7 linked regions of the Tribolium castaneum genome follow. The protein of the gene in region 3 interacts with the protein of the main gene of each other region in a pairwise test. Links are inferred from orthologs where the notes say so. Each region holds a gene or a part of one and is shown on either strand. Other genes may lie near its edges.

Region 1 (3,500 bases), on a different chromosome or scaffold from region 3:
CTTTCAACAAGCGGAAGTTCGGCGTGATGAAGAAAGCTTACGAACTCTCGGTTTTGTGTGACTGCGAGATCGCGCTTATCATCTTCAGCAGCAGCAACAAATTGTACCAGTACGCGAGTACGGACATGGACAAAGTGCTGCTGAAATACACCGAATACAACGAGCCCCATGAGTCTCTCACCAACAAAAATATTATCGAGGTACATCAAACCCAGCAGCAACTATGCCCGATACTTGGCTGATGCAAACACGATAACTGTGTTTATTTTACTGTTGATTTTTTTTTCGATTCGTACCTTTTTATTATTCACTGATAACTTTCGAAAACCTAACACGTTATTGTTTTGTTGTGCTTATTATTTACTAAGTTATCGAATCGCTGCATTTGCCTGTTATTTACGCGAGTTGTTGCTTCAGTTTTGAGACCCTAACTTGTAATGCTAGTTACGTGTGGTAGAGACTCTTTAACTAGAGGTGATTAGAACGTGTGGTGTGTGTATGATAGCCCCAGAGGCTGCGTTATTCCATGAGCTGGTCCACTGACACTTGCAGGCACTTAATAAGAAAGAGCATAAGAACGGAGTGATGAGTCCTGACAGTCCCGAGCCGGAGACGGAGTACCAGTTGACGCCGCGGACCGAGGCCAAGTACAGCAAAATCGACGAGGAATTTCAAATGATGCTTCAAAGAAACCAAATCAATGGACAGAGGGTACGTCTAGTTATTTGAATTGGTTTATTTCGCGTCGCGTCGTCTTGAACGTGAACTTAATGATTTTTTGTTTGGTTATAGGTTAGCATGAGCTCTTCGAATTATACGCAACCCGTATCGGTGCCTGTTAATATAAGTTATGGTGATTCTGGTCTTCTTCAATCTAGTCCGCAAATGGCTCATACTAGTATTAGTCCCCGACCGTCTTCTTCTGAAACAGATTCGGTTTATCCGAGCGGAGGAATGCCCGAGATGAGCAATGGTTATCCAAATTCAGCATCTCCAATGGATGGATCACCGTCCCCAGGACCAAGTCCAGGACCAGGTCTTAGTTCCTCAAAGCAGCATCCAAAACAACATTCACCCGGTCCGCGATCGAACCTCCGAGTCGTCATCCCTACGGCACTAGGACCAAGTATTACCCCGGAAGAAGTTTCATATGGAGAAGTAAGAATTTCTAAATTTGGGTCTTGACGACCGATTGTGTTTCCTTTGTTTGCTTTCCAGCACAATCGGACTCAATCGACTCTGAATACCCCCGTGGTGGCGCTGCAGACTCCCGGTTTGTCGAATTACCCCGGTACTTTGAGTTCGTTCGGCGCTCAGGATTTCAGTATGGGGGCCGATATGGGCTTGAGTTCAATATCCTGGAGCGGTCATCAGATTTCGACGTCTTTGACACACACAAGTAACTGCTTGCCGCATTTGGCAGTGTCGAGCAGCACACCACCGCCGTCGTCATCTTCACCGATACCTGTGAAAATAAAGAGTGAACCGATATCGCCTCCTCGAGAACATCATCCGCATCTGAGTGTGGGTGTCCACCATTCGCACGTACAGAGCTTGAACTTGACGCACAGTCACCATCCGAGGCCCAGTTCTGCCGGTCATATAACGCCGACTCCTGGAAGTGTCACGCCGACGAATTTGCCGTCGCCGACGGGGCCGCCAAGCGGGGGTGATTACGAGAATATTCAGATGCATAAGCGAGCAAGACTCTCAGACTGGCCATCCTAGACCGGCGGCGGCGGTGGCGGCGGCGGCGCACAAGACGCTAAGTGCCATAGTGATAACGTGTGGATAACCGAACGCGTTTCTATTGCCAATTGTCATCTATGTGATAAACTACGAGTCTAGTAAAACTGGATATTTTATGAAATTTGTAGTCATTTATCAGTGAAACATACATAAAAACGATTTTGTAGAGAGAAAGGGAGAGAGAGCGCAGCGCGAGAGAGGATCAGATTTATATAGAATGGGTTAGTGTGGTGAGTGTGTCGTGGTTGTTCCAGTCAGCGACAGCGTTATATGCTGGCGCCAACATTTGTTCTCAGAAACAAACATAATATATAGTGCCATTATTTTCTTGTAATTATTAGTGTCTTTTTTATAAATGTTTTTAGATAAATAGTATATTATTTATAATGTACACTTGTTAATTTAGCGAGGATGCAGCCACTAACAAACATATTGAGACTATGCAGGACACTACTCTTGTTATGTATTGGTGCTTTCCCCAACCTGATCGGATGTACTCTGTCCACTGGCTGTTGGTGCGGACGGCTTGACAGACGCCGCGGCGGCTCTGCTTCGCCGGATTGACGCTGGCCGTCGGTCCGTCCGTCCGTCCGCCCGTCAATGTTGAATGTACTGTATTTGTACTGCTTCCCCATTGGAACCTAGAGTGTTCATTGTTGTAGCCTTTTCAATTTGTTTGTGATTTCAGAGTACGATATCTATTCTGTATATTGACCTACACAAATTAAATTATATAATTATACATTATATAATATATAGATATATTTTATCTACTGTTGTGTGCACAAACCTTGCACATAGTTTTATAGTTTAAATGTCGGTTCGACCCGGCTGTCCGTCTTCGCACGGATGACCCTATCTCCACTGAACTACTGTAGGATTGCCTTACTCACAGTGCCTCGACAGTATGTACGTATCTATTTGTGTACTACACCATTGGATGTCTTCAGTAAAAGCCATCTTAAGTCCGAATGCGCTGCGGTACATTTTCGTCGATAATTCACAGGGTATTGCGCCGTTCTACACTCCACTCTGCTGACTGGCACGTGCTAGTGCTAGTGCTAGACAGCTGCCGCTGCTTGTGCCTTCTTGTTAACCTGGTACCTTTCCGAACCCCCAACTGGCTTCCGTGTCACTGCACTACTGTCTCTTCTGTATGTTATTCTTTATTTATGTCAATGTTTTGACATGTCAGTTGACACGATTTTATTTAGTCGTTTTATGTTAAGCGGAACATTACGCCTCATTTTTAAATGGACGAAATACCCAGCTACATTATGTAAATATAGTTATATTTTATTGTAGCGTTGCCAATATTTGTTGATCATTTTACACCTCATCTTTCATTTTACATTTACATCATAAGGCATTATATTACGTCCATTTGACATAGGCATTTTTCAATCATGTGCAATATTAATCTGACGTTTATTTATCTATGATGTATTGAATTAAACCAAATAAAAAATTGTTTGTTACAATTTTAAGCCTACATTTATTTAACAACACATCTACATCCATCTTATCATTCCATCAACACTATATTCAAAATTATTAGTGTGGCAGGTAAATAAAAAAATTGCTTTGTTGTGCATTGTTATGCATTATGACTAAAGGACCTAATTATTGTAAACGCATGCGCTTTTGCTTCTCACAAAAATTGTTAACTGTAATATGCCGACTTTCAATTTTTCAAAGGTGCGCAAACAACGAAATTAAAAATAATCAAACGATTCTTTGGTGTCTCAATC
Region 2 (4,090 bases), on a different chromosome or scaffold from region 3:
ACTGCGGTCGGGGCCCCGGCTCCGGCGTATACGTGAACGTCAACCCCGTGGCATAGATAATCCCGTCGTTCCGCACCAAGGAGACCGGGACCTGGGTCGGCTGCCGCACCCACAGCCACTCGCCCCGGAACTGCGAGATGTCCGGGACCACGCACAGCATGGACTCCTGGCACCGGTACATGGTCTCGGCCTCCACGTCCCCGAACCACACCTGCAGGGACGGCGAGAAGTTGTCGCCCGTGAGCTCCAGCATCGCCACTTCGCCGCCGCCGTTCAAGTGCAGGCTGTGCACGATGGGCACGGGGGTCACGGGGGAGCGCACGGGGCCCATGCCCTCGTAGAACTGGTACTCGGCCTTGTCGGTGGAGATGATGGTCCAGCAGGCGCCGTCGTTGATCATCTCCTTGTTGGGCTCTTTGGGGCAAGGGGTGGCCTGGAACTGGATGATGCGCTCTTGGGAGAGGCAGAGGTACATGCGTTCGGTGTCTTTCATGTAAAAGGCGCATTTGTGCAGCTGGGACACGGGGTCGTCGGCTTCGAGGAGCGCCTGCTGCTTGTCCACCTGGACCAAAACAACAAACGCTTTACAAAATTGAACCAAAAAACACAAACTACGAAACAAAAAAAGACGCCACAAAGAGAAGAGAACAATTATATTACAATACGTTAAAAATTTGCAATACGATGACCTGTACAAACGTAAAAAAGTGGAAAATAAAAAAAATACCGTCAGGAATTATAGGAAGTTTCAATCACAATTTTTTCAATTAATACTTGACCAAGTAAAGATAAATCGTAACTGGAGAACTGTCAAATTATACACAACTTAAATAATTCTAATAATAATGTAGCTGTATTTCAACGGGTTCCTTAAAGTGTAAGTAAGATAAAGAATAAATACAAGGTGTCTCAAAATCGGCGGATTCCAAGTCCTGCAGAGCGTAGTAGAGAATCACCAAATGTAGAAACAAAATAAAGATTTGGGGCTTCTTCTGACATTTTGGCGAGAAATTAGCTTTCTTTCTTTACGATATTTTCTGATGAGGTCGGTGAAAAAGAGTATTAAGAGTTTATTCGTAATTAGCGTAGGAAGACTAGGGAGAAATCTGATGTTGTCGAGAGGCATGTTATGCTTTTTAAAGGCATTAAAAATGATATGCGGACGAAATTATGACAAAAAAAAAAATCTTGAACATCCAGCATAAGAAAGTCAATGACGTGGTGAAATATTTAATTATTATTATGAGTATTAAGAAAGCACATTTGTAATTTTAATGGCTGAAAAAACATAATATTTTGTGTTTCTTGAAAATTACAATAGTTTGTATTATTTTAGTAGGTTTTTCTTTCCCCAAAATAGGCTTCGAATCGCCCGCGTGAGCGGCGAGTTTTGATAGGATGGGAACCGACATGTGTTCTCAAATGGGCCAATCACGGGCTGGGTCAACATTTGTATCGAAATATCGAATTTTGTGCAATGAATCATCTGGAAAATCATTATTTTGTCTGAATTCGGTCATGGTATGGCCGTAACTGCTTGCAGGGAGCGTTCCTTTGCGTAATTATGGGGAATATAAAGATTGACATGTTGCCGAATCATAACCTCAATTTTTTGTTGATGTTTTTTTCAAACGTACCTTTCGAATGATAAGTCTCGGGAGGGCCATTCCGGTGACAGAACACACCAGTTTGACTGTAGAACCGTAATGAATGTACCCATCCCGTACTTGAAACTCCTCACTTTCAGATTCATTGTCGTCTAACAAGTGTATAGTGAAAGCACCCCACTGTGTGGAACTGGCATGAAAATGTCCATTTTCCACGTGCAGATACCGCGTGGAGACAGTCTGAGATCTAAGTCTGTTAAAAAGCGCCACTTTGGTACCACTCGCAATACACAAATCCGCGTTTTTCAACGATTGTTTCTTCTTTGAAGGCTTCGAGATAACTTTGATTCTTTTGCTATGAAACACCCCGATGTCGTGCCCCGACCCGTAGAACATCTTCACGGACAACATAAAGTGTTTCCTCTTGTCCGAATCGGAGATGTAGAGAGTTTTCGCGGCACAATACTGCTTCCCATTATTCAAATCCAGCTGCTGCATGTCCTGGTCCGAGTTCCCAATCCCTATGAAAGCGCATAACTGCGAGGCCTGCTCGGACTCGCCCTCCCGCAGCATCTGCTCCTGGCGCAGCCTCCAGCCGTCCCCGAACAGATAAATGCAAGGGGGCGGACAGAAAAACCTCTTCTCATTCCCGTAGGACTTCTGCGCCACCTTGGCGTGCAAAATCACGATGACCATGTCGGACCGGTCCCGCAGATACCGCTCCATGGCCTCCCGGGTCAGCCGCCGGTCCTCGCCGCGGTAGCCCCCGGGCACCACCGCCCCCGAGAACCGCGAGTACATGGCCCCGTGCTGCGGCGGCGGCGTCGGGGGCGACTGAGCGTGGGCTATGCCCGGCAATCCGTACTGATGGGGCATTTCGAAACACTTAATCAAGTAGGCCGCATCGCACTGGCGTTTGTTTTATCGATGCACTCACAGCCAACTCTTCGCACGGCTACCGCAACACACGGTGAGAACAAATGCCATGCTTCCCCCTCCTTTGCCCCCCGTATCTCATTCGAAAAACACCTGTTTGGAGAGAGGATTTTCCGACAGGATGGCCAACTTTCAAAAGGCGAGTTTTCACAGGAAGTGCCCGAATTAACGCGTTCTTGGAATTTTTTAACGCTCAAGAGGGCCCAAGATGGGCTGATGGGTCTGCATGGGCCATGGGCGGGGCGGGCGGGGCGGGCGCGGCGGTCGCTGAAAATTATGTAATTTTGGTAGCGTTAAGGCGGGTTTACACCTAACACGCGTAAAACGGTAGTGGATGACACAACAGGGGCGGAGGCGAGACGCCACTGGAGGATTAATCCTAGTGAGGGATTTTCTACCTTGATACCTAATCTAATTGATCTAATTAGGTGCCAATTATTATTATAAATAATGTTTATTTCTAAAAAGAAGAAAACTAAAAAGTTCTAACAAAGATAGCAGTATTAGGAAGTTCGCGGCGCCGCTGCCTGACAAAAGAATGTGGTGGTTTTATTGGCGTTTGGGCGCACGCCACTGGCCGCGTGTTTATGAATGGGTCCCCTCCCTTGTGAAGGTGCCTTTAGCGCCGCCCCCCTGCCCTCCCGCAGGATGTTGGGGTTACAGCCAGGGCGTGGGAAAATCATGGTGTGGGAAAGAGTGGGTGGCCTCGGCGATTCTCAAACATTTGATACTGAGAGATGTAATTCAGACCGCTGGACGAGATTAGGTCTGTTTTCCTCTGATTTGATGATTCTTCGCATCTAAATCATGGGAACTGACTGACGTTCGTGTCGCGGTCGTTCATCGCCGCCTCAGACCGTGGGAATTTTTTCCATCAGACGCCTCGAATTATTTACCAGAAAATATATTATGGGAGTTCACGGTCTGTGGAGGCTCATCGAGCCTTCCGGCAAACCCGTGCCTCTGGAATCTCTCGAAAACAAAGTGTTAGCTGTCGGTATCCTTTATTGACATTTCAAACGTCACGCTTGATCGGTTATAACCTTAACGCAATCTGACAGATGTCTCGATTTGGTTGCACCAAATCGTCAAGGGGTTCCAGGACGCCAAGGGGGCCGCCGTCCCCCATGCGCACCTGCTGGGGATCTACCACAGAGTATGCAAATTACTCTATTTCAGAATCAAGCCGGTGTTTGTCTTCGACGGAGGCGTCCCAGTTCTCAAAAGACAAACCATAGTGAGTAAAATAATGAGAAAAAAACATAACCTCAGTTGCATTTTCCCGCAAATTCCCAGGCGTTACGCAACCAGCAAAAGTCCAAAACCTTGTCCGAGGCGGACCGCATCCACAAAAACCTCCTATCAGCCTTAGTCAAACACACCGCGATTAGCAAAGTCTTGTCCGAAAAAGCCAAAGCGGCAATAACCGCCTCAACTTCTCCCACTAAAAAATCAAAACAAGACGATGACGAGCTTTACGCCTTGCCCCCGTCCCAGTCTCTCGACTCCACATTGTCACAAAGTGACTCGGATTCGGAAGACTCGGG
Region 3 (4,300 bases):
TTTACTGTTTACTGAATAGAAATTTATTACATTATTATTTGTTTTTATTTGTTTGAAGAAAATATTTATACATACCTAGATCCTAGATCTACTATTGTTGGGAGATTTTTGTAGTTAGAATAATTCCAGTAGAGACACTTCTATAATTTTTTTGAACTAATTAATCCGTTTGGAATGGGGTACGAGTATTTTTCGATGAGATTTGATTTGGATTAGGTATGTGCACGAAGAAAAAACGGTCCAAAATAATTTAGTTTTATTAGTTTGAATGTTTTTCGGGCAGTAAAATTTACAAAAGCACATTCATTCAAATGCAATTTAAGTTTATTGTATTTTGGGAACACAGAAAAGTAGGTACATTAAGGTAGTATATTAAAACCCTTACTCGAAAATGAGCAACAATTAACTTTAGCTTTGGTTTTTATACCGACATGGTACAGTGTAAGATGAAGTCAAAAAAGCGAGAATGTTTTAATAGGTACCTGAAGCAGTAACAAAGGGCTGAATGCATACCGCTCTTTATACAGCCTAAAAACATTTAAAAAAATGGAGTGTTTCTTTGATTTTAACTTGTTTAGCGGTTGGAGTCTGATTTGTTGCCTAAAAAATCAAGTGCGATGAAAAGTTACAGAACAAGATCTTATCTACCCGTCGTCAATAAATCTTACTGTTTTAGTTGAATATTAATATAAAATTACGTACTGTTTTTAGAAATTGTGAATTTAATTGTTTTAACAAACCAAATAGACATTAAAATTGTGATGCAGAATGCAAAAAAATAATAAATAAAATAAGCTTTCCTTTTTGTACTTTAACGGTGAATATATTGAGGGTTTGGCAGCGGAATCAGAGTATTTTAAATGTAGCGTTTACTTTTCGATGATTTTGTTTATATTGGTGGTGTGATGGTCGTTTTATCTTTTATTGGCAATTGATGTTGCTCGTTTCGGCAAGAGTGTCGTTTTGAAAGGTTGAGCAATTGTCCGAGAGCTGGCGCCACGCGCCTCCCCTCTTCGTCTCGTTGGGGGCCACTTGCGCAATGCTTGAAGGCTGTGACGAATTCAATTGCTATTGGTTCATGTATGATCCCTTCCATTAGAGCGTCTTCGTGTAGAAGCACGTGCTCTAGGGGTTATTACGGCCTTCGCGACCCTTCTGGAGGAAACCTAGCCTTTGGAGAAGCCGGTCAGGCGCTAATTAGGTGCGACCGTGTCCGATCGGCCGACAATACAGGTAGCTGCAATAATGAGCCGCGTGCTCGTCCGGAGTGGGGGGAGAGGGGAGCGATGGGCCGGGATGTGTGGGCCGGAGCAGACTCCGGAGCTCCAGTGGGTTCCCATCCGCGAGCAAAGTAGCCAACGTGTGCATTCCGGAGCGAGCTGCTGTGTGGTGTGCTCGTGCGAGCTCTTATCACCTTATCACTCTCGCTAATAACAATAATAATAATCGTGTGACTGTCATGTCCGGTTCCGGTGTCGAGTGACTTGTGCCGCCCCCAGCATGAACTCTTACTTCGAGCAGAGCGGCTTCTACGGCAGCCACCACCACCAGAGCGGGTCGGTGGCGGGCCACCACCACGAGCAGTCGGCGGCGGCGGCGGCGGCCTACCGCTCCTTCCCGCTGTCGCTCGGCATGTCCCCGTACGCCTCCAGCCAGCACCACCACCACCACCTGCAGGCGCGGCCCCCGCAGGACTCGCCGTACGACGCCTCGGTGGCGGCCGCCTGCAAGCTCTACTCCTCCGAGGGCCAGCAGAACTCCAACTACTCCTCCAACTCGAAGCCGGACTGCTCCAAAGGCAACGCCGACCAGAACGGATACGCCTCGGTGGTGGCGGCGGCCGCGGTCAAGGACGTTTGGCAAAGTGCGACTTCTGGCGGTGGCGCTAATCTCACGAACAGTTTGACGGGGCCGGTCAGGCCGGCGGCATGCACGCCGGACTCCAGGGTTGGCTACGGGTCGGTCGGGCTCGTCGGCGGAGATCCGGCCTCGAGTCCGGGGGCGGCCGCAGGACGGACGGGCAACTCGCTCTCGTGGAATAACCCCTGCAGTATCAACTCGACCTCTTCGCAGCCCGTTGGCACGCAGATACACCAGCAGACCAACCACACGTTTTACCCCTGGATGGCCATTGCAGGTTGGTGATAGGTCTAAGCCTACGGACTCCTGCTGCGGACGCTATTTGCAGGAAACGCGCTAACTCCGGCCGAATCGCACGCCGTTCAAACGTGCACCACACTGTAACATTTCAAAAGCACAAACCAAAAATGTTTCATTCATTGCTGTGACACTAAAAAAATGTCATTTCAAAATACCAAACGTGAAAATAATAGTCGTTTCTAAACACATAGTGCGAATCAAAAGTCAAGAATAAATTTTTTTGGCGGGAGATTTTTTTAAAAATTTCGAGCAAACTGTTTGTTTCCGGGTTTTTATTGTACCTACTTTTTGGACCACCACGGTTCAAGTTACGATTTTATTAACTAGTTATATTTAAAGACAGTATGTTTAGTTACGACTTTTTTTATTTATATCTCCATTAAAAAAATAATAGTTAATAATAATTAATTAAGAAACGAACTTTTTACATAATAAATGTTCTAAATAGTTTTGCCGAAAAACAGATTTTTAGTAAGTTTGTAAACGATTTTTTAACTGAATATCTTTCTAGTCGTCCGGAAAATGATTTATATTAATGATTAAATAAATTATTTATCTGTATCTATTTTTCCTAAATTTCTGGTGGGTATTCTTTGATTCAAAAATAAATTTCTTGGCACAATATGACGAACCGTTTTATTTTATTATTTGTGATTCATCTTCGTCGTCTGCTTCCTCTATTTTCTAAAATTAAAATTTTATATAATTTCAGTCGATAGTAAAGTACGTTAAATTAGTAATTTATTTGGGAATGTTAAAGTTGCCGACGTACAACACCATAAATTTTGTTTATTTTTTCAATGATTTGTCATTCATAATTTGTGCCTTATTTATTGCCGCTGGAACTACTTAATTATCTATTGCAAAATAAAATAAATTTGAATAAACAAAATTTTTTGTGCTAATTGTTGCCCTTTGGCCCGTGCGCGCGATGTCCGCACCTCAAAGTTATGTAAATGTTGAACCTGCAGCGAAGTCAAGTGCGTGTAAAATCAGGGTTGAATTGCCACATCTCTGTCCCTCAGTCGAATTTCTCTGTTCTCGTCCTCGTCGAACAAATCGGGTCCTTGTCAGAGCACGAGGGACGATCAGCTGTTCGCCTATTTGGCCGTCTAGACGCCTTTGAAATGAGCACGTCCTATATTCCCGTAAAAAAATCGTCCGCTTTGACCAAAATAATCCGTGTTTTGAGTTCGGCGTTCGTAATTCTCAAGTCTTGGGTCAATGGAATATAATTTGGTTAAGGTCGTTTCATATTTCGGGAGGACATCGCTAACGAGCCGACAAAAAATTTCGTTCGGTCGTTATTGCGAGACGCTCTATTCATACGCTGGAGAGTAATGAGTTGATGGCGAACTCTAATGTTCAAAGGTATATCTTTTCGAAATTACTACAACGTCGCTGAAGAATTATTGATTGAAGAAGCGGCTGTGGTTTTCACGGGCCGCCGATTGCTTAAATTGTTTTTATTTATAGTTTGATTTATTAGCGCTATTGCCGCCAACGCACGATCTACTACACTTATGTTATCGCGCTATACAGGGAGGACGATTAAAAGCGTGTTCGGAGATGATTCCGACGGATTTTATTTATTAGAGAAACTCGTATGTCAAAGTTCAATCTTCTATAACAACATCATAAATTCGCAAAATTTGCATAAAGCTACAACGTTCTTTTATTTTATTTCATTTTATTAACATAACAGGACGGAAATGGGAAAAGTACCAAAATTTTTCAAATTTTTCCTGACTAAAAAAAATTGGCAACTGTAACATGATCCCATAGTGTTGGGCACGTCACTCAGATGGCGCCCTCATCCACTTTCATAATTTAACCAGAGGGGTCCGTCAGGTACAAGGGGCCGACCCTCGCCTGTTCAAAAAGTGCCATTCAATATGAGCGCTTCCTTATTTTTCGTATAAGACTTTGAGAGCGTTCCACTCTGTATATTTCCTCATTCACATGATAATTCCTTCGTCTACCGCGCCGGAGTCCCGGACTTGTCCCGAATTGTGCCGGACTCAGTCCGGATGAGCGATGACGTATTACCGTGGCCCAGTCAGTTACACCCCCTTTTGTATTTTGCTCGCTACGGACCGCACCAAAAACATTTGCTTGTTTCTTCCACCAAGGTATTAGC
Region 4 (4,300 bases), about 1.5 Mb from region 3:
GTGCCGCTTCCAACTTCTCTTCCATCCTTTCAACATACTCTTCAGTTGGTTTCTCGTTATCAGATTGCTTCTTCTTCGAATCCTCATCTTCAGACTCACTTTCGCTGCTTTCAGCCCGTGCTAGTTTCTCTCTAGCTTCAGCTAGTTCACCCCCTAGCTTAATCACGTGTCTGTTCATTTTTTTAATAGTCAGATGTAAAATTTCCCACAAGTACATTTTGGTGAATTCGGCCGTCATCTCTTTGGAAAAAATCCAATTAGCGACCGCTGAACACTCGACAATTTGAATTTTCAACATTTTGTCAACTAAAACGACCATCATTTGTTGGTGGTGGTGCCACAATTCGAACATGTTTCGTAAAACGCAAATTTGAGCTTCCTCCGACTCTGCTAAAATCTATCAAAAAAAAAGTGATTTAAGACACAAATGTTCAAGCCTGAGTACCTTAAAAACGTAAAGAAACTTGGAAATCGCTGCAAAACTGTGCGAGAAGCTCTTCGACCCTAAGTTGAGTAGAGTTTGCACAAAAACGTCGATTTTGAGAGGATTAAATCTGCTATCAGTCTCTTCTTCTGAACGGGGGTTTGGGAGGTCCTTAAGCACCCCTAGGACCTCCTCGGGGGTGCACTTCTGACGTATTGACACCACCAATTGATGGGCAGCCGTAGTACCCGGAAGTGACGCTAAAACACGATTTGTTATGCATGACAAAAAATTTCATAATTTTGGTTTCGCCACGACGGAAGCTGGATTTTTTCACAACTCCTCATAATCCTCCGTTCCACTTTAAATAAATGAATTATTCAAAAAAACAATCCGTTTAATACAACAAAATTGTTTTCCGCAAACCGAAACGGAAAAGAAAAATTAATAATAGCGGAAGACCACCGACCAGAAAATCCAATATTGTTGCAAGTAATCATAACGGAAACGTTCGTTTTTTCTCGAACGCATATAATCGTATCCCTTTCTTACGCAAGCTGCAATGTATAGCTATTTTCTCGTGTTAATTGGTCAAATTCACGCACGTTTTACTTTCGGACTTTTTCCTTTAAATTACAAGAATCACTTCATACCGTGACCATTATGTCAAATTTGCTCATTGTGATGATTGTTTCAAACAATTGTAATCTTCATCGTGTAACATGCACTTTCGTTATTGTTTTTCGTTTCGAAATCTCCAAGCGTAAAGATGCGACTTTGCGATATCGCCGCTGACTTAAAATCGGTTCTTTTCAGAGCAATTAAGTTCAAGGTGAAACTGAAGATTCGTGAGCAAAATTACGAATTAAAAGAAAAAAATAAGAACGATCGTAAACATCTCTGGTTTCATAACGCGGAGATTAAATCAAAGGTAATGAATTTGTGCAATAAAAATGAAAATATTCTACCTCAAGTACTGAATTTTACGCAAATAGGGTCTTAGGTAACACCACAAGGTTTCAATTAGCCACGCTTTTCGGTGAAAATAAAATTTCTCTATTTTCCTTCGAGTAACATAAAGAAAAAAAATGTTTTTGCAGAAATTAAATCAACAAAAATCCACCATCAAAGAAGAAGGTAAAAAATAAATTAAATTAAAAGTGCGAGTCCATTATTTATCGTAATGAAAATGCAATTATCAAGATGTTGCGACAATACAAATTCATCATAGAATTGCCAATAAAACCTTGCTAATAAATTTTTAATTAAAAAATCTCACTTCGGACAATACTTTTTCCGAAGGTTTAATTTTAACAAACCCATCACTCTTAATAAAAATTTCAAAACTTCATTGTTAATGAGAGTCATTTTAGTTAATTACTGTCGTGCCAAATTAACTTGTCCGAAAATAATAATTCGGGTTTTTTCTTAAAACCCCGAGATAATTATCTTGGCATGTGTCTAAATTAAGTAATATAATATGCACATTGCACACACAAGAAAAAAATAATTAATATTCATCAGTGCGCAGAAAAGTAGACAATGTATTAGCAATTATGTCGAAAGCTTCTAGGATCATCGGTGGGGTACTCTTCAATCTCTCTAAGTAAAAAGATTTAGTTGTAAGAAACCGAGCGAACTAGTGACATGTGCAGCTTTCAAACATTTGCAAACACCCAGTGGGTCTAAAATGGGACACTTCGAAATAATCTTCATTTTACTCTTGGTAATTTTACCACGACTAACAATCCCATTCAAGTCCAAGGTTATTAAAAAATGAAAACTCTCATTTTCAGACTCTCCAACTATGGGAAACTGTATCAATCACTCGACCCGTGCGAAACTTTCATCCTCCCACCGACTGGGAATTGGGGCTGCGTGAGTCCGTGCATCAGGCCCTCCTCCGGGAACACTACACCGACCCGGGGCTCCGCGACCGCCTCCTGGCAGCCCCTTTTATCAACCGACAGGACGACGCAAGTCCTTTCGGAGACATCGCCGTTCTGGCACGAGGACAACTCTACATAACCCCTGAAGGTTTCAAATTTGTTCAAGACGTGGACTGTGATTGTCAAAGATGCCTCACGTCGCCCCAATGCCAGTGGAAAACCTTCGGTCACCATAAACTACTCGCACTGTGGACGGTGAAGCGGATAAGACATCGGGACCCCCATTATGGGCACGTGTACGAAATCGAGTACACGATTTCGCCCATCACGCACACCATCAGCGAGGATTTGGTCAAAAGACATGGGTTTTTTAACTATAACGTCCCGGGACACATTTTCGTGATTAAGAGCGATCCGGGTGTGAACACAGTTGGACAAAAAGAGTGGTTCAAGAAAGAGGAAGATCATGGACACTACAAACCCGGAATTTTAATACAAATGACCCCGGATGGGTACAAACACGTGTTGCACAGTTTTCCCGGATTTTTCACTTCATACCACGACCAAACAACAATCGATCCAAAAGAATACGAACTGTACAAAAAATTGATCGAGTCATTGGCGGCGAAAACATCAAGTGGGCCTCACCGATTCTCAGTTACGACTCCTACGACTACGACTTTTGTCGTAAGTGAAGGACAATTAATCCCGATTACGACTTTACCGACCCAAAGTTATACAAAGTCGCCGAAACCCATCACAACCATTCATTATTACACTCCGGTTGAGACAACAACGGAAAAACAAGACGAGAGTTTTGATATTTTTTCGGAGGCGTTACGCACAACTACTACGAAAAAAATTACGACAAGTGAAGAACGAGTTAATTTGTTCCCGGTTAGTCCAACCGAACCGATGAAACCGGTTACGGAAGTTCCGAAACACACACGACCGGATTCAATCAGTGAACAACTTCCAGCCCCTGATCGAAACGTTGAAACTACAATTCCGTACGTTACCACGACTCAACCTTCGGTTAGGAAAGAAGAAAGTACCACAATTGAAAAAGTACCGTATACAGAGCAGAAAACTACAATTATTGGGCCCTTTACGACCGAGAGGGTTAAAAGTACTACGTTTTATACCACTGTACCGAAAAGTAGTACGGTGATTGAGGCGGTACCCGTTAGGACTTTACACACTTCAACCAGTCCCAAAACCACTTCGACTAGCCCCAAAACAACTACTATAATAGAAGCAGTTCCCGTCAGAACTCTGCACACGTCAACCACTTTTCTACCATCGTCTAGCCCCAAGACTAGTAGTTATGAAACCACAGTAATAGAAGCAGTACCCGTTCGAACTTTACGACCTACAACTGGTCATGATACCACTTTTTCCACATCATCCAGCCCCAAAACCACCAGTTATGGAACCACTGTGATAGAAGCAGTGCCAGTCAGAACTTTGCACACTTCAACCAATCAAGGCACTACTTTTCTACCACCGTCTAGCCCCAAAACTAGTTACAGAACGACTCTAGTAGAAGAAGTACCAGTTAGAACGCTACACACTTCAAGTAGTCCTAAAACTACTACCACAATCCAAACAATACCCACTACAACTCCATATGGTTCAACTACTATAGTAGAAGCTGTACCAGTCACAACCCTGCAAGGTTCTACTATCATAGAGGCGGTACCTATCACAACTCCATACCTGTCAACTAGTTATGGTACGACTGTAGTAGAGGCGGTACCCACTACAACTCACCCGAAAAATACGTACGAGACAATAGCAAAAACACCCAGTTATGAAACCACTATACCAGAGATAGTACCTACGACCACTCGGAGTCGAACGAGTTATGGTACCACTTTAGGAGAACCCGAATCTGTGACAACCCACCCTAAACCCACCACAGTCACGGAATTTTATTTCGAATCAAAGCCAAAAACAACAGTAACGCAACAAAAATTCACAATCC
Region 5 (4,145 bases), on a different chromosome or scaffold from region 3:
GCTTTGGTCTGACTTTCGCCCTGAATGTAATTGCACTGATAAAAATACTAGAAGTGTGGTAATGGCCTCGAGGTGTATGCCATACGTGGCATCTGTAACTTCAACATCGACGATAACTTTAACTAGAGCGTCTACGAAAGTCTCAAGTCTTGTCCCATTGCCGTTTACTTCAATTTGCTCTATTAGCTGCTCCTCAGTCACGGTTTCGCAAAGAAACTTAACAATGCAGCGAATAATGAACAGAATGTTAAATAACTGCCAAATGAATAAGCTTCTAAAACGAGAATTATGAGGAGAAGTTAACGAAATGGAAAGTTATTACGCGTCGGTGTTGGTGGCAGTCAAAAGCTCGGTAGCTCGGGACAAGAACACGTCAATAATTGAACCCAAATTTCCTGAGGTGTGGTTATTTTTCAGCAACAGTTGGCAAAGGTTTTCAATTTTTGACTCTAACGCTAGCTGGTCATTACTAAAACAAACAGTCGTGTTTCGTCTAGCGTTTGGTGTAAGTAAACCTTGTCATAGGTGGAGAAATGTTGAAAGCCACCAGTCGGTTCCAAAAGGGGTCATTTTGTGATATCGCTTGAGTGCTTACAAATTTAAGTAAATAATCATTCGTGGACAATTCAAAATTTTTGCTAACAGCCGTACCCATTTCTACAAAGACCGAATTTTGTCAAAACGTTTTTTGTAAGCAACGGTGTTTATACTCACTTATTTACGCTCAATTTTAATGTATAACGCACACCATTAACATTTTTTCCATAAATTTGCTAGGACATAACCTTATCGTAAAAAGTAAACACGTCACCTGTCAAATGACATTTGAACGAACGACGCCACTGAAGGATCATCAAGCTGAGAAAAGTAGAGCGCTGGGGCTCCACAAATGAATGGAATCTGTGACGGAATGATTCTTTTTTGTTTTTTATATTTTTATTTATGCATTTTTAATAATTTTTACAATTTAAATGGGTTGAAATAACAACAATTGTTATTTCTTACACAAGTGCTGCGCTGGTGATTTAATACATTTTAAATTTAAATGCCTTCTTTGATCTCACTCGATCTTTTAAGTTTTGAAAGATTCGAATTCGTAATTTTATCTTGATTATAAATAATAGGTTCAATAAAGAAATGATTTTTAGATTAGGAAGAATATAAAAAAACTGTCTTTTTGTCACTGAACTGTTGCTATTGGGTTTAAAACCTTGTCTTTAAGGCAATATTCGAGGAATGTAAACAGTGTCTTGGACCACGTTTTCGCGACGCCACTGGTTTGGAATAGTTTTGTGTGCGCGCATGCGTAAAAATTGTTAACACAACACACGTGCGTCCTTTTTTGTTAGTTTTTAAATGTGGGGAAAGAAGACAGATGACGCAAATGAGGCTGTGCTTATTTCGCGTGGAGCGACAATCATCGTCCGCCTGTCAAAGAACAATATGGCAGTGGTAAAGCAATAATTTTTGTAAAATTTTTGGCAAGTTTTCTCTGTGAAAATTGGTGATATCCGTGTGCGTGAATTTTTGTAACTCGTGGTTGTTTGATGGTGATGAGTGGGATGCTCCCGTCGTTCACGCCGCCCGTCGTAAAGCGATTACTGGGATGGAAAAAAGGCACTGACGCCGATGACAGATGGTGTGAGAAGGCCGTCAAGAGTTTAGTCAAGAAACTGAAAAAATCGGGCGCTTTGGAGGAGCTAGAACGAGCGATTTCGTCACAGAATCATAATACGAAATGCGTCACAATTCCTAGGTGAGTTTTGGGCCTCGCAGTCTGCTCATGCACCAAGTTTAAGGTCATAGGTATTATGGATTTGTTTAGATCCCCTCACCGCACCACGTCTGGCTTGCGACCTACCCTAAATGTCTGCAAAATGTGCTGGTTGGGCCCGTTCTCACACCACTGTTGCCCAAATTGCGCAATTTTAATTCCAGCTTCCTGTCCCTCATAATTCGCTCAAATCTCGCGCACATAGCAGTTGAAATTACTTTTATTATTTTTAACTTGCATCATTGGCGCTGATTTATTGATCATTTGTAGAGTTCGGCCGGCTGCTGAATTAGGCAACGTCCAGCAACAGAGGAAGGGTTTGCCCCACGTTATTTACTGCCGGCTGTGGAGATGGCCTGAGCTGCAATCGCACCATGAACTCAGACCTCTCGAAAACTGCGAATACGCGTACAATTTAAAAAAGGAGGAAGTCTGTGTCAATCCATACCACTATACTAGAATTGAAAGCCCAGGTATTATTTATGTTATGTCCAGAGTTTTCCAGATTTACAAAAACTAATGCACTTAACAGTTTCAAATTTGAAGAGAAAACAAGCTTGTAGAAACCCGGCAGTTCCATAAATTCGTAATAAATCCTTCAAATAATTAAATATTTATTCAAAAGACTGTTTAGATTTTATGTATAATTTCGAAACAATAATTAATTTATGTATATGCGCAACAGGTAGATAAGTTAACAGTATCTTATTTCTTAAAACAGCTTTCTAGGTGGAAATGTTGAACTACGTTTGCATTTGTATTCTTTTACCAAAGATAGAGTATAAATAAGTAGTAATAATTACTATAATTTGGCATTTATTAAAGTCGTGTTATGACTTCGTTTTATCAGCGATTAGCAGCTAGATGTGCTTATTAAAATTAAAATGTGCTTATATTTTGACTGGAAACTTTTAATTTTGTTTAACAATTCGATATTTTTCAGTATATTTTTTATTTTAAATAAATTCGCTTGATAATTATGTTAAAACTTTTCTACATAAACACACATTTATTATTAATTTCACTGTATCTTTTTGTACAAAGTGTTTAACTTTTTACAGCAAGTATGTTTTTTTTCTTTAGCAATTTGAGCACTGCAACAGGATATGGTTTTGCTTTACGAATACATGATATAGCGTCTGACAAAAGTATGGAACCAAGCGTTTTTGCTTGAACTATTTATGTTACGAAAAAAAATCCGTACTATCTACGTTAGCAAGTCTGTTAAAAATAATGTAGAGACATTGCATGTGCTTATTTGTAAAGATGTTTTAGAGGTTGCACCGTTTGTAAAAAGTTTGTAAAAGTAAAAATATGGTGGAAATCGTAAAATACAGTTCGTAAACCTAAATGAATTAAGCATTTGAATTATTGATTTAGGCATTTGAACGGTTTGGGACTACGTAATGTATATTTTGGAACTTATCACGATTTTCTACATAACAATAGCCTATTAAATTTTATATTTAAATTCTTAGCTAAAAATTGCACCAAAAACCACCATCGACCGTATTTTTTTTTAAAAATGGAGCTCTTTGTATGCTGTTATGTTGAAAACGTTTCACTCGGATTCTGATTTCTTTACCATTCTTATTTTTGTTAAACTTTTACCGTCATTGTAATTATAAAGAATTGCATTTTTAGATGAAGTAATTTTGTAATTTTTAATAAGTTATCGCTTAACCTTGACATGTCATGTATGTTTGTTTTTATTTCATTTCACTAATCAGCAACACGGAATTATGCAAATTCGATTATTTTGTAACATCCGGTCTGAAAAAATAAGGAAGAGAAACAGGTTTTATTAATGTTTTTGGGTGTTTATTGGCACATTTATTCATAAATTGAAGCGATTCAATTTAGTCTATTAAAAATTGATTTTATTTCCTCAACAGCCCTCCCAGCCATTTTAGTCCCCCGCCATCCACTCAGCGACGAAAACAACTTGTTTCCGCATTCGCTGGAAGACCTCAGCACGTCTGTGCCCGAAAACACGTCATTTCCTCACAATCCAAATAGTCTAGGGTATTTTTTCCCTCTTTTGCTGAAACTTTTAATTTGGTGGGCAATTTCAGTTTGCATATGCAACATTCTGGGGGTTACATGGATGCGGTTGGTATTTGCCCGAATGGCGCTCCTGCAAATATGGAATCTCCCCACAATGCTGCCCCACCTACTGAAACTCCTCCACCTGGTTATATGTCCGAAGATGGTGATCCGATTGATCCTAACGATAACATGAGCATGTCCAGGATAACGCCTAGTCCTCCCGTGGACGCGCAGCCTGTACTTTACTGTGAACCCGCTTTTTGGTGCAGTATCAGCTACTACGAGCTGAACACACGAGTAGGGGAAACGTTTCACGCTAGCC
Region 6 (3,979 bases), on a different chromosome or scaffold from region 3:
ATTTTAGTTATTATTATAAGTTATTTTTTAAGCAAAGTGAAGTGAAGGTTCGTATCAAAGATATCAATTACCTTGAAAATGTCAACATTAACACTTCTTTCGATAGCCAAAAGAGATAATGAAGACAACCTTTCTTGGCCAATCTTCCTAGTGTTCGTTTTCAACCGCCGCAAGCGAGAAAAAGACCTCTCACAAGATGTTGTGTTTATTGGAATCGCAAAAAATAAACATATAAAGGTCAAAAAGTAGAGGGAACATACTTTTCATAGCCCTTCAACAAAAATGTCGGCTCTTTCTTGGATAATTTTGTTTTTTCATTCTTCCATATTACAAATAATGTTGAGCTGAACAATTTTGGATGGCAATTGCCACCCCCAAATTACGCACTGCCCCAGGTAGTCTTAGCTGGGACAAAATTGTCTCAAAATTGGCGAATTATTCCGAGTTCAGAGCGTTGTAGAGTTCCGTAGCTTAAATGTATGAGAAGACACAAAATGAAGATTTACTTTGAATTGCGTTTTCTTCAAACGCGGGCTAAAAATTTTAGTGTTTATTGTTATTTATGGTGTTCTTAGATGATTGTAGAAAATAATAATTTAAAACTAATTAAAAAATTGTGTAATTTTTTTAGAAAAAATATTTTATTCATTCAACTTGTTTAATTTTTCTTAAAAATGTAACAACAAATTACAAAAACTTAATTTTTTTACACCAAAATAAAGCTATTTTTTAAGAAATCGACAATCGTTTTACATTATTATTCTCAACAATCATCTTCACCATAAATAAGAATAAACACTTAAACTTTTAGTCCGTATTTGAAGAAAACGCAGTGCAAAGAGAAAGTGATCTTCAAACCAAAGTAATGGGGAAGCCCCGAATCTTCATTTGGTTTCTACATTTGGACTACTGAAGCGATTCTTTACTATCTTTACAATGCTCTGAACTCGAAATTCGCAAATTTTGAGACAGCTTGCATTGTAAAACAAAAACCAAAAAACCTCCACACAGCAAGCTAGTAGTTGGCATCACATCCGATTAAAAACTAGAGTTAATTAACAACGATTATTACTACATATTTCTATAATTAGTAATTAATTAAATAATAATATTGCAAAAAAATATATAAAATTCGGTTCAAGGAACAGTCGGCCACAAAAGACAGACAGCGCAAGGCATCGGTCCCCCACCACTTGTCACTTTGACAGCCGTGAATGTCAAATGCAAAAGAAAACAGATGATTATTCCTCAAACAACATAGTTCGTATTATTTATTTATTATTTCTCCAATAAAATGGACCCCGCCTTACTAAAAGAAAGAGAATTATTCAAAAAACGTGCACTTACAACTCCTACGTAAGTAGCATTCGCATTTTGTCAACTTATTCAGTTAATTTTGTTCTACTTTCAGTGTAGAAAGAAAAAAGACTGATTCAAGACCAGAACCAACTCGCGATGATAGCAAAAGGTTTAAGTCTTCTAGTAGTAGCACCCCTAAACTTGATATCAACACGTAAGCAGCAAAACATTGCAAATTTGAATCAATTACTTTGTGATTTTTTTTTAGATACAAAACAGCAACAGGAAGTTCGCAATATCGATTCGGTGTTCTCGCTAAAATCGTGAAACATATGAGGAAGAGACACCAAGAAGGTGAAACATATCCACTCACATTAGAGGAAATTTTAGACGAAACTAATCAATTAGACGTAGGGAATAAAGTCAAGCAAGTAATTTTGTGTCATTATTACAATACTTAAATGTAATGGTGTTGATTTAAGTGGCTGCAAACCGAAGCGTTAGTCGATAATCCTAAAATTGAGGTCACTCCTGACGGAAAATTTTTATTCAAAGCTCCATATAAACTTAAAGACAGGAAAAGCTTACTGAAACTATTGAAACAACAAGATTTGAAAGGGTTAGGCGGTGTGTTGTTAGACGACGTGCAAGAGTCGTTACCACACTGCGAAAAGGCTTTGAAGGTATCATTCTTTTAGTTATTTTCTAAACGAACGACGTACAAATAAAACGTCTCCGACTTCAATATTTTCGGTAATGTCGCCAAAAAGCCCAGTTGACTATTTAAATAACTATTAACACAATTCAAAAAAATACAGGCACATAGAGCATTAAATTTTCAAGAGTAACAACTAAAAATAATGCAAAAATTTCAAACATATTAATTTGCAGTGTGACCCATATTTTTAAAACGCTGTTAATTTGGTTAAAGATACAAGAAAAATGTTAGGAACAAAGTAGTAGAAAAATCAATTTTCTACAAAAAAGTCCGCGACTATTTTTCTTTACAACTTTGTTCTTCACACTTCTTTATACCTTTAAACGTATTCGCTATGTTTTAAAAATTATAACGCGGATTGCAAATTGATAATAAATGTTTATATTTTTTTGCACTTTTAATTTAAATTAAAAACTTAATACAGAAAGAGTCAGAGATTAAGATAGTGGAAACACTTTATTGAAAACAGTGTCAAAAAATCGCATATTTATATATATGAAAACGCTGCGAATTCAACTAAAGATGTGTAAGAAGCATAGATGTAGAGAATTAAATTTCCTACAAAAAAGTCCGCCACATCTTCATTGGTTTAGGTATAAATTAATTTTCCAATACTTGACCATAAAATGAAACGAAACCGCTGTGTGAGCATTTTTAAACATTTTTGGGGCCTAAATAGTTGAAGATGTAGATATGGGGTCGTATGAATAAAGTTGAAGTATTTACTTAAAGTATGAGTATAAAGGAAAAGCATTTGCTCTTGCTTTTACTTCTTTAGTTTTTTGGAGAATCTGCTCTCAAAATAAATCATTGTAGTGAAGTTTTCAATGTTGTAATTTTTAAAATGGATTTCCATCTCCTCCCATTTCGTTGTTCTCACTCAAAAAATACCTAGCCAAAGCACGAAGATTTTTTCGTTCAAACCGATATAAAGTCTTAAAATCTTATCCTATGTGTTCGCGAGGTTGTTTATAAGTTTTTCTTACCCATAGTTGCACAACACCCACCATTGTTTCGAGTTTGAGGTGTTACTTTTAAAAATTGATGCTCCTACTGATTAGCGTCAACAATTTTGAACTAAATCCTCAACGAAAAAAGCATTTACTTTGTTTTATTCATTTTGTTTTGAGTAAAACCTCGACGTTCAAGCAAATACTCGCCCAGTGTGCTTTTACTTTTAGTAAAAACTTATACTTACATTTTTACTCATACAATTTAGAACATTTACTTGCAAAATTTGAAGTAAAAGCATTTACTCAATTGTATTCATACGGCCCTTGGTTTCGCAGATTTTTTAATAGCTATTTATTGTATAAGTGTTTTCGAAAGCATTTTATCCACGCAAGAATGTTTAATATTCTCAAGTGGATAAAATGCGACTAAAACATGAATGCAATACAATGTTTTATCCACAATCGTAAAATTAATCTTGGCAGGCTTTGTCTGGTAGTCATAATTCCTAGTTTATTCCACTAGTGGATAATAGGTCACTATAAGGCTAAAGGGGACGACAGAGTTAAACCAAGTGTGTGGCAAAGACAAGTAGTAATGAAATTTATTTTTCTACTTTTGGCGATATTTGTAATCCAATTTTAAATCGAAAAATGGAATTGACTCTTTTAAATAATTATAATTTGAGACAACGTAAGACTTTGAAAAAAAATTATTTGATATTTTTTTATTAAAAGTTTAAACAAATATTCATAATATTTTTAAAAATGTGTACGGGAAAGATGCACAGTGATGGTACGAACAGAATGCGTCCAAAAAACGAAAAATTTTGTTGTAGTTTTGAACGAATCGCGAATATTCATTTTGACAAAATTTGCCGCCGAGAATCTCCCACAGTCAAGTGCGGGACAAGAGAAAGAGAGGGCAAAAGCAACTAAAGACTAGAAGATGTAAAACACGATATTTCTGTATCCTAGTATTATTCATACAAACAATTATGGTGTTAATTCT
Region 7 (3,500 bases), on a different chromosome or scaffold from region 3:
AGTTCTACCCTGTTCATGAAATTGTTTAAATATGATAAGAATTAAAACACAATGTTAACACTACACCTTTGACGTTACATAAAACGGCAATAGTAGCAGCAGCACTCACAACAAAATAAAAAACAAATAATATACCAACACTTTTATTAATAAAAAAGAAAACGGTACATGACGATTTATTTTGTACAATCACATTTAGATATTTTTGTAAACGACAACCATAACACATCAGTCAAAAATCAGCATTGTGTTTTAGCTCTTTGATAATAATCAGACAGCATAAAATGTATTTTTTTATTTTAAACAAATCAGACTCAATATTATACAACCGAAACTTATACACGTATATGATATTTTATACATACTTGCTAATAAATTATAAATAGGTACACTATAGTATTTTAACAACGAAACTTCCTAGTGTCGCATTTGGGATTATCAAGAAAAATAAAATGAAAATGTCTAATTTCATCAAACAAAAGACATCGAGGAAGGTATTATAAATCGGTATCGTACCATGCTGCAACTTGATTGTTGTCTTGGGGAGGTGCAGGTAATTGATTAATTGGGTCAAAGTTGATGTCGGGGTCGCCATTGGCTACATCCATGGCTTCAATCTGGCTGTACGTCGACCCGTTCCCGCCAGCGTGCGACCCAATCTCTAGCCCTTGCATATCTATTGGTATCTGGTCATACCCTAGCGAAACCACAAAATCAGTACAATTTCCATAACATCCAAAGAGCATGCGTTCAACCAAACAACTGCATGCAAAATTATTACCCATATGTTAGCTGACTTGTCTGTTATTGTCTCGCTTTCGGTGATTAGTGTTTTTAGTGAATTAGTGTGAAATGTGCGTGTCAATTACCTTGCTGTTGGTACGGCCGTCCACCGTGATTGCTGTGCACACTAGGGGGTCCTTGGGCATACATTGTATCATATGCTTGGTCAGGACTCAAAATGTCCTAGAATGATCAGTGACAAAATGCAAACAAAACAAAAATTGCCAAAAGTCAGGCTTCAAGCAAACCAAAAAAAAAACAGTAAATTCTACGACCAGTGAACTTACCTTTAAATTTTGAAAAAGCAATAACAAAACAAAAAAATACCTGTAAATCAGGATCGATGCCCAGATCCGGATTCCACAAATTCTCCTCCCGGAACAGCGAATTTGTCAGTTCCATACTGAGCCGTTTTTTGTAGTCTTGTGGCTTGTCCTCGCTCATCCTAAATAATACTGCGGCAGCGTACGTAGCCACCCCTTCAATAATTTACAATTAAAATTCAACAATTAGGAAAAAGTATGTATGAACCTTCGTTTCGGGAATGAAGCAATTCGGTTAGTGGCGATGTGGCGCCCTCTTGCTCGATCATTTCCGCCCCTTCTTTATCAGCCGCCAATTCGCACAACACCCCAGCTGCCACACGTTGGATATTTTCAATATCGTTAAAAAGCAACTGAACAAATATTGGTATAACCATTTGTTGGCGTATAATGGCCCTGTTGTGGGATTCCCGAGCCAATATGTGCAACGCCCCCACTGTCCCTTCGACGATCTCCTCCATTCGTACGCCATCGGCGTAACTCGAGGCTTGCTGGCTGCCGCCGCTCGCCACACTCGACCTCTGTTAAAAAAAAAACAACTTGATACATACCCTAATACGGTGCTAAACAGTTAATTAATACAAATTAATTTCACATCTTTAGGGTGTATAAAGCGATAAGTACCCACATGGGCGGAGCCTAATTACGCACAAAACCGAGAAGAGACGAAGAGTAGTCACAAAATAACTTTGTATTAAGGGCAGTCTGCTCCTGGCAAAAATTTGATTTGGACACTTTTTGAATTAAAATATATTTTTTGATATTTATCATAATTCAAGACAGCATCCAGTACCTTATTTACGCAGTTTTAAAAGGGCGCTAGATAATTTCACCAAAAAAATAAAAATGTGACACGATGTTATTAAAAAAAACTGCTTTTGAATTTAGATTTAGACAACATTTTTCTTCTAAATGGACTAAAATCAAACTAATTTTTTATACGAACTGAAAATCCAAAACTGTATGGCGCTTAACTATTTTTAATGTTTATAAAAAATATTTATTTAGTTGTCAAAGTAAATGTAAACAAATAAAAATATCTGAATTTGCTGAACGTAACATAATGTAATGAATATTATACCCAGTTCGTATCTTCAAAAGTTGTACAATTTCTGAAAAATTGACTATTTTGTGAGTGTAAAAATGTAAAATCTACCAAGGTGTTTCAATTAAAAAAAATATGCACTATTGTTTTTCAGTTTTTTTAAACAGGAAAAAATGTTTTGTGTAAATAAAACTAATGACAACCTACATTTTTCTACTGTTTTGCATAATATATACACTTTTAGTTTTCCAAAAATAACTAAAAAAAATAAAGAAAAACAGCAAACAAAATTACTCAAAAAATAATAACGACGTCATAAATGTGGCTATGTTTATTCCAAACAGTAAAATATAGGTATTAAGTTTATGAAGACTTATTCGCCATGACATACATGTTAGGATATGAACATGTATACACTGCTTTTTTTAATTTTTATAAGAAAAATCTATATTATCTAACATTATTTATAAATTTTTTGTATTTGTAAAACTTGGGCCAATCAAACGGAAACTGGGCTCATACATGTTCTTAATCCTTAATGTTACTAAGAAATTTAGATGGTTCACAATGGAACATCTAGAATTTCCAAGTTACCAACAATTTTAAATTTTCTATTTTGCTAAAAAGTTTATATCGTCTATCAAAGGGTCTTTAAGACGTTTAAGTGAATTACCAGTATTAAAATTAATAATTGTTTATTAAGTATGTCGTTTGCCCGAATGGAGCAGCTAATAAAATTTTCTCGAAAACTTTAGTGTCACTATCTTCTATCTTAATTTATTTGTCGTCTATCAATTTGGACGTTGCGACTGAATTTTTAAAACCTTGGACCTTATGATATCGGCTTCCGATTTACAACATGCGTTTTGATATAGAAACTGTGTTTTCATCACTGTTTTATTTTCGTTAAGTTAAGACTTTTCATGACCCAACAGCCCTTAGACCTAAAAACCGAAAAAATGTATTCCTGGTTATCGGTAAGAGCAAATCTAAGGGGCATATTTGAAATCTCATCGGAGAGTTAGACTACCCTTAATAAACATAATAGTTTTGTTTAATTCAGAATGTTATTGGAGAGTTTTTGGCTCTCACAAGCTCAAACACCCAATAATAAAACGAATTTGTTTCTCATTTAATCCGAAAAGGTAGTTATGTTATGGCTAATGTGTAACCTTGGCTAGTTAGTAAACTAGCCAAAATTCTTGGCTAATTTACTTGACAGATAGAATGAAAATTTACCTTCCAAGAAGAAAAACTATTCAACATAGTTGATGCTAAAATTAACTTCTATAACACCCTAAGATTCTAACTGTAAGTTAGAGGCTTCATTAATTGTAATGAAAAAATTA

What was found.
Region 1: the proteins of Ubx (region 3) and Mef2 interact in a protein complementation assay, tested with the Drosophila melanogaster proteins (2 studies listed by BioGRID). The link is inferred for Tribolium castaneum from reciprocal best matches to the Drosophila melanogaster genes Ubx and Mef2.
Region 2: the proteins of Ubx (region 3) and Su(H) interact in a protein complementation assay, tested with the Drosophila melanogaster proteins (2 studies listed by BioGRID). The link is inferred for Tribolium castaneum from reciprocal best matches to the Drosophila melanogaster genes Ubx and Su(H).
Region 4: the proteins of Ubx (region 3) and Cbp80 interact in binary tests that used the Drosophila melanogaster proteins (3 or more experiments, as listed by UniProt). The link is inferred for Tribolium castaneum from reciprocal best matches to the Drosophila melanogaster genes Ubx and Cbp80.
Region 5: the proteins of Ubx (region 3) and Smox interact in a two-hybrid assay, tested with the Drosophila melanogaster proteins (2 studies listed by BioGRID, with this or other methods). The link is inferred for Tribolium castaneum from reciprocal best matches to the Drosophila melanogaster genes Ubx and Smox.
Region 6: the proteins of Ubx (region 3) and TfIIEbeta interact in a two-hybrid assay, tested with the Drosophila melanogaster proteins (2 studies listed by BioGRID, with this or other methods). The link is inferred for Tribolium castaneum from reciprocal best matches to the Drosophila melanogaster genes Ubx and TfIIEbeta.
Region 7: the proteins of Ubx (region 3) and armadillo segment polarity protein interact in a two-hybrid assay, tested with the Drosophila melanogaster proteins (2 studies listed by BioGRID). The link is inferred for Tribolium castaneum from reciprocal best matches to the Drosophila melanogaster genes Ubx and arm.

The regions. Positions count from the first base shown.
Region 1 is NC_087403.1:6,203,276-6,206,775, reverse strand, and holds the end of Mef2 (myocyte-specific enhancer factor 2), read left to right. Parts: coding exon 1-200; intron 201-552; coding exon 553-711; intron 712-792; coding exon 793-1,158; intron 1,159-1,218; coding exon 1,219-1,728; 3' UTR 1,729-3,230; downstream 3,231-3,500. UniProt on the Drosophila melanogaster protein: Transcription factor that could be a key player in early mesoderm differentiation and may be required for subsequent cell fate specifications within the somatic and visceral/heart mesodermal layers.
Region 2 is NC_087398.1:4,884,059-4,888,148, forward strand, and holds the start of Su(H) (suppressor of hairless protein), read right to left. Parts: upstream 2,801-4,090; 5' UTR 2,484-2,800; coding exon 1,638-2,483; intron 563-1,637; coding exon 1-562. Other genes in the region: DNA excision repair protein ERCC-5 homolog, read left to right, coding at 3,453-3,540, 3,605-3,780, 3,840-4,090. UniProt on the Drosophila melanogaster protein: Transcriptional regulator that plays a central role in Notch signaling, a signaling pathway involved in cell-cell communication that regulates a broad spectrum of cell-fate determinations.
Region 3 is NC_087397.1:7,100,887-7,105,186, reverse strand, and holds the start of Ubx (ultrabithorax), read left to right. Parts: upstream 1-1,500; coding exon 1,501-2,137; intron 2,138-4,300. UniProt on the Drosophila melanogaster protein: Sequence-specific transcription factor which is part of a developmental regulatory system that provides cells with specific positional identities on the anterior-posterior axis. Binds the consensus region 5'-TTAAT[GT][GA]-3'.
Region 4 is NC_087397.1:5,580,077-5,584,376, reverse strand, and holds part of Cbp80 (nuclear cap-binding protein subunit 1), read right to left. Parts: coding exon of another isoform or gene 2,221-4,300; intron 2,151-2,220; coding exon of another isoform or gene 2,115-2,150; exon of another isoform or gene 2,001-2,114; intron 685-2,000; coding exon 446-684; intron 398-445; coding exon 1-397. Other genes in the region: mucin-2-like, read left to right, coding at 2,115-2,150, 2,221-4,300. UniProt on the Drosophila melanogaster protein: Component of the cap-binding complex (CBC), which binds cotranscriptionally to the 5'-cap of pre-mRNAs and is involved in various processes such as pre-mRNA splicing and RNA-mediated gene silencing (RNAi).
Region 5 is NC_087396.1:11,007,065-11,011,209, forward strand, and holds the start of Smox (mothers against decapentaplegic homolog 3), read left to right. Parts: upstream 1-1,345; 5' UTR 1,346-1,547; coding exon 1,548-1,756; intron 1,757-2,044; coding exon 2,045-2,247; intron 2,248-3,669; coding exon 3,670-3,799; intron 3,800-3,849; coding exon 3,850-4,145. Other genes in the region: dymeclin, read right to left, coding at 1-274, 323-469, 516-655.
Region 6 is NC_087396.1:10,271,664-10,275,642, reverse strand, and holds the start of TfIIEbeta (general transcription factor IIE subunit 2), read left to right. Parts: upstream 1-1,179; 5' UTR 1,180-1,294; coding exon 1,295-1,356; intron 1,357-1,411; coding exon 1,412-1,513; intron 1,514-1,567; coding exon 1,568-1,730; intron 1,731-1,781; coding exon 1,782-1,982; intron 1,983-3,979.
Region 7 is NC_087395.1:16,182,140-16,185,639, reverse strand, and holds part of armadillo segment polarity protein, read right to left. Parts: intron 1,628-3,500; coding exon 1,315-1,627; intron 1,263-1,314; coding exon 1,111-1,262; intron 967-1,110; coding exon 870-966; intron 698-869; coding exon 498-697; 3' UTR 1-497. UniProt on the Drosophila melanogaster protein: Isoform neural may associate with CadN and participate in the transmission of developmental information. Can associate with alpha-catenin.